Callithrix jacchus: one gene and its partner. The protein of the gene in region 1 purifies or fractionates together with the protein of each later gene. This does not show direct contact. Links are inferred from orthologs where the notes say so. Each region holds a gene or a part of one and is shown in the gene's direction. Other genes may lie near its edges.

What was found. Proteins that work in one complex are often made in the same cells at the same time.
Region 2: the proteins of MAD2L1BP (region 1) and MAD1L1 purify together in Homo sapiens (co-immunoprecipitation; 4 studies listed by BioGRID and IntAct, with this or other methods). This does not show direct contact. The link is inferred for Callithrix jacchus from reciprocal best matches to the Homo sapiens genes MAD2L1BP and MAD1L1.

Annotation. Positions count from the first base shown.
Region 1 is NC_133505.1:52,113,272-52,115,553, forward strand, and holds the end of MAD2L1BP (MAD2L1-binding protein), read left to right. Parts: intron 1-801; coding exon 802-1,314; 3' UTR 1,315-1,714; downstream 1,715-2,282. UniProt on the Homo sapiens protein: May function to silence the spindle checkpoint and allow mitosis to proceed through anaphase by binding MAD2L1 after it has become dissociated from the MAD2L1-CDC20 complex.
Region 2 is NC_133503.1:56,827,817-56,831,401, forward strand, and holds part of MAD1L1 (mitotic spindle assembly checkpoint protein MAD1), read left to right. Parts: intron 1-547; coding exon 548-629; intron 630-2,390; coding exon 2,391-2,521; intron 2,522-2,674; coding exon 2,675-2,789; intron 2,790-3,585. UniProt on the Homo sapiens protein: Component of the spindle-assembly checkpoint that prevents the onset of anaphase until all chromosomes are properly aligned at the metaphase plate.

The DNA of each region.
Region 1 (2,282 bases):
GCCTATATCACCAATTACTAAACCTTTATGGGGTTCTGCTCTATGAATCAGTTTGGATCCCTTGGGAGTCCCTTCTGTCAGCACTTGGTATTCAGCTCACTTGAACTCTTAACTCCTCATCTGCTTTTTTTTTTTTTTTTTTTTTTTTTTAAGACAGGGTTTCACCATGTTGGTCAGGCTGGTCTTGAACTCCTGACCTCAGGTGATCTGCCCACCTTGGCCTCCAAAGTGTTTGGATTACAGGTGTGAGCTACCATGCCCGGCCTCTTCATCTGCTATCTTCCAAAACTTTGTGTTTGCCTTTGGCCAGTGTTGTATAGTCTCCAGTTCTTTTGCCCTTTGGCGTTCTCTTTCTTGCTCTTTCCTTTCTTTGTTTCTTAATTTCTTTCCTCTCATTTTGTAGTATTTCAGGTGGAAGCACAAATAAGCATGTGTTCAGTTTACTATTTAAGTGGAAGAACAAGTTCAAAGTTATGTTTATTAGACCAAATAATCCTCATTCCTGTTATCACTTGTCATGCCATCAAATCTCTTGTTTAGTTGCTTATATCTGGATGCCCTCCACCTTCAGAACACTGTTTGCTCCTCTAAATGTGGGAGAATTATGGTTTTGTACAAATAATATATTTTCCTTTTCAATATAATGCCCTCTGATAAAACACAGTGTTTTAGCTATGGCAGTTCATTGAGCTAGAACTTTAGTCCTGTAAGTCTATGTACACATCCCAGCAGGGTTCTTTTCAAAGGGCATTAGCTTCTCCTTGTCTTATCCTTCTCTCCCACCATTGTTTGTCCTTACAGACAGAGGAGATGCTGAAGAAGAAACCTCGGGCCACCACTGAGGTGAGCAGCAGGAAATGCCAACAAGCCCTGGCAGAACTGGAGAGTGTCCTCAGCCATCTAGAGGACTTCTTTGCACGGACACTAGTACCACGAGTGCTGATTCTCCTTGGGGGCAATGCCCTAAGCCCCAAGGAGTTCTACGAACTCGACTTGTCTCGGCTGGCCCCCTACAGCGTGGATCAGAGCCTGAGCACAGCAGCTTGTTTGCGCCATCTCTTCAGAGCCATATTCATGGCTGATGCCTTCAGCGAGCTTCAGGCTCCTCCACTCATGGGCACCATCATCATGGCACAGGGACACCGCGACTGTGGAGAAGATTGGTTTCGACCCAAGCTCAACTATCGAGTGCCCAGCCGGGGCCACAAACTGACTGTGACCCTGTCATGTGGCAGACCTTCCATCCGAACCACGGCTTGGGAAGACTACATTTGGTTCCAGGCACCAGTGACACTTAAAGGCTTCCGCGAGTGAATGAGCGCTTCTTAATCCTGAAAACACAATGGCTGAATTATCTTTCTCCATGTGGCACTGAATCACCTATCTAGTTTGGAGCTAGAGTTGCTTCCTGGTGAGAGAGGAAGCAACTCTCCTTTTGGTTGTCTGCCTCCTTCCTCAGATTTCCTGGTGGGCTGATGGCATGTAGCTGTGACTGTAATCATTGCTGAACAACATCTCTTTGAATCAAAGGTTGATCTTCCCAGAGGGTGCTGGGTCAGTGTTTCTGTTAGGGATTGGAAAGCAAAGATGGGTCCATAGACAGACACTCTATGGAGGTGGCCCTTTCTGCTCTTTGCTGTGTTCTTTCTGAATTTTTACCAGGAACATAATGTGGATGTGACTCATGAACTTAAATATAAATAGATTCTTATTATATTTTCCTGAAACTGTTTTGACTTGAAGAAACTTGTCAGGCTTGGCCAGGTGCAGTGGCTCACACCTGTAATCCCAACACTTTGGGAGACTGAGGCGGGTGCATCACGAGGTCAGGAGTTCAAGACCAGCCTGCTAAGATGGTGAAACCCCGTCTCTACTAAAACTACAAAAAAGTTAGATGGGCATGGTGGTGGGTACCTGTAATCCCATGTTCTTCAGCCTAGGTGACGAGTAAGACTTGTCTCAAAAAAAAAAAAAAAAAAAAAAAAGGCTGGGCGTGGTGGCTCATGCCTATAATCCCAGCACTTTGGGAGGCCGAGGTGGCAGATCACAAAGTCAAGAGACGGGACCATGCTGTCCAACACGGTGAAACCCCGTCTCTACTAAAAATACAAAAATTAGCTGGGCATGGTGGTACACGCCTGTAGTCTCAGCTACTTGGGAGGCTGAGTCAGAAGAATTGCTTGAACACAGGAGGTAGAGGTTGCAGTAAGCCGAGATCATGCCACTGCTTTCCAGCCTGGTGACACGGAGACTCTGTCTCAAAAAAAGCCTTGTCAGGCTTG
Region 2 (3,585 bases), on another chromosome or scaffold:
TCAGCACCTCCTAAGATGCCCAGCACCGGGGGCATCTCCTACCCAGCATTTAGGAGATGCCCAGCACCATGGGCTTCTCCTACCCAGCATTTAGGAGATGCCCAGCACCATGGGCATCTCCTAAAGGGTTTGACCCTTCCCTCGGCAGATGTGGTTTTAGGAGAGTTCTAGTTTCGTAGTAGAGAGGAGAGGTCATTTCTGGGCGGGGCTCTGCCACAACTGCACCAGGGCTGCGGGTTGCGGCCGGCAGGTGAAAGTGTGGGTGCCGCTGCTGTCGAGGACCTTGCAGGTGGCTTGGGCTCACTATGCACTCTGTGCGGATGAGCAGACTGAGGCCTCAGAGCCAGCCAGCAGGGGCTGGGACCCAGGACCTTAGGGTACCCATGCAGTGGGAGTGTGTGTGGAGGGGTGTGTGCAGGTGGGGGTCCTGAACCTTGGGGTGGGAGTGAGAGTGTGTGGGTCTGTGCTGGGGCGGATCTCAGGCTGAAGAGAATTGTTGGCCTTGCCACATGCCTGTTTCTGTATGTGATGTATTTTTTTTTAATAGAAAATGGCAGGAAGCCAGTCAGAAAATCCAGGAACTCCAGGCCAGCCAAGAAACGAGAGCAGATCAAGAGCAGCAGATTAAGGTGAGTTGCTTGTGTCAGGTGCCTTGTGGACATCCCTGTGGTGGCCTTGGCTCTCTTGCCCTTGTCGGCCTTTCTGCACCAGTGCCGAGCTCTGTGGGCCTCCTGTGAGATTTGCTGCTGCCCTGTGTGGTGGGCATTTTGCTGGGCACCAGGGATGCCATGGTGAATGGGGCAGATGCTGCTGACCTCAGGGAGTGTGCATTCTAGAGGATGGAGACTGACCAGAGACACGAAGAGAGTGTCCGAATGTATGATGATGTCAAGTGCTGAAGAGTGTGAGAAGGTGATACAGGCATAGAGGGGCTAAGAAATCTGCCCACAGTTGCACAGCTGGAGCTGGGTCTCAGTCGGGGTGACCTACTCAAGCTCATGCTGTGCCCTTTCCCTGTGGAGGGCATGCCAGGGAGACGCCGACTCCGGATCCCTCTCCTACCTCCTGTTGCCTGGAGAGCAGCTTTCAGACCTTGTGCTCCAGCTGTGCCCTATTGGCCCCCCATGTACCCTCACCTCCATGCCTCAAACCAGCTCTTCCTGGCTGCAGAGCTGACTGTCACCCCCAACCTAGCCTCTGCCATGTCACCTCCTGGTGGTGTTCCCTGGCCCCTCATCCTCCTGTCTGCATCCCTCGGCCCACCTGTCAGGATTTGCTGGCTGGTGAGGCCTGGTGTCTGCCACTTGACTTGGTACATCGCACAGAGATGGACTCTGTTAGTGTTTGTTGAATGACCATCTGGTTTGGTTGTGGTTTCATCCTCTGCCTGTTCACTGACTTGCTGCTCACAGATGTCAGCTGTCTGTGTCCCAAGGAGACTGGGTACCATAGGGAAAAGCCTGTCCTCACTATTGGAAAGAGTAAGCCGTTACACACATGCTACTAGAGGGGCAGAAGTGGGCTTGACACAGGAGGATGGGATGTTTCACCATGGAGTGTCATCTTGGGCCAGACTTGAGATAGACTTTTGCTTCTAGATAGCTCCCTGAGGGCAGGACAGTGGTGTGCACAGTAGCCCAGCGGTGTGTGGTGAGTGCCAGCTCCCAGTGTGCAGTGGGCTGGGAGGACGGTGTTGGGAAGAGCTGCCCTGGACTGAATGCCGAGGCTCAGTATTGGAAGCAGCTTTGAGGGCCCTGGTGCAGCCCGGGAAGGCCTCCCAGAGGAGAGTCCTGAGCCATGGAGGCTGCTGAGGACCTGGGGCAGTTTAGTGGAGGAACTTCCTGGCCTCAGTGACTTTACTCTTTAGGGGATGCTTTTTTCTATAGCAGATTTAGGTTCACAGCAAAATGAGCAGAAGGTAGAGCTCCTGTGCACCCCTGTTCCCCGACCCCCCCCCCAAAAAAAAGCACACACCGCCTTTCCTGGTAGAGTGGAGCACATATGACGGTTATGAACCTGTCTTGATGCATCAGTGTCAGGGAGAGTCCACAGGTCACTCAAGTGTCTCTCCTAGAGTGGGACAGTGTATGGTTTGGGCAAATGTAAAATGTCCTATATTCACTGTTAGAGTGTCACACAGAAGGGTTTTACTGCCTAAAAATCCTTTGTGCTCCCCCAGTTAATCCCTGACTCTCTCCTTTTGAGTCGCTGACAATTCCCAAACTTTTGCTGTCTCTATAGTTCCCCCTTTCCCAGAATGTCCGTGGTTGGATCCTAGCTCCTGTAGCCATTGCAGACCAGCTTCTTTCTCTTAGTCGTGTGCGTGTGATTTTCTCCAGGTCTCTTCATAGTTCATTTTTCCCTTCTTCTCTGTCCCTGGCCTCCATCAGGATCTGGAGCAGAAGCTGTCCCTACAAGAGCAGGATGCTGCTATTGTGAAGAACATGAAGTCTGAGCTGGTGCGACTCCCTAGGCTGGAACGGGAGCTGAAACAGCTGCGGGAGGAGAGTGCACGCCTGCGGTGAGGGGGCATGGGGGATGGAGTAGCCTGTAGTGAGTCTGGGTTTGTGTGCAGGAGCCTGTGTTGCAGACCCTGTAGGGGCAGGGCTCCTGGGCTCTTGGCTTCATCCCCAGGGTGTGTGGCTATTTGAGCAACTCTTTGTGGCACTGCCAGGGAGATGAGAGAGACCAATGGGCTGCTCCAGGAGGAGGTGGAAGGGCTACAGAGGAAGCTGGGACGCCAGGAGAAGATGCAGGAGACACTGGTTGGCTTGGAGCTGGATAACGAGGTGAGGGTTTGTGCAGAGTGGGTCGTACCCTTGTGTTATAGGGTGGGAGGCAGAATCATGGTCCCCAGAGAGGTCCATGCCTTATCCCCAGAGCCTGTGAACACGGCACCTTCCCTGGCTGGGTGATTGAGGTCACAGGTCAGCTGGCCCACAGTGTGGAGGGGCTCCTAGGCCATCCTGGGGGCTCAGAGTGACATCAGAGGGACTTGGCAGCTCCTGCTCGGTGTGGAAATGGAGGAGGGGCCACAAGCCAAGGAACAGGGGTGCCTCTGGAAGCTGGAAAGAGCAGAGAAGTGGACTCTCCCCTGGAACCTGCAGAAGGAACTCAGCCCTGCCAACACCAGGATTCCAGCCTAGGGAGACCCATTTTGGATTTCTGAACTAGAATACTATAGGATATTCCATTTGTAGGCCTTTTTTTTTTGAGACAGAGTCTTGCTCTGTTGCCAGGCTGGAGTACAGTGGCATGATCTTGGCTCACTGCAACCTCTGCCTCCCTGGTTCAAGCGATTCTCCTGCCTCAGCCTCCTAAGTAGCTGGGACTACAGGCATGTGCCACCACGCCCAGCTAATTTTTGTGTTTTTAGTAGAGACAGGGTTTCACCATGTTGGCCAGGATGGTCTCAGTCTCTTGACCTCTTGATCCACCTGCAGCCTCTCAAAGTGCTGGGATTACAGGCATGAACCACTGGGCCCAGGCTGCTTGCTGGGATTCATACTTGAATTCATGGGGCTGGGAAGGAGTGACGCATGAAGCGTACAGTGTGACTTCTGCAGTTGGGGAATAATAACCCAG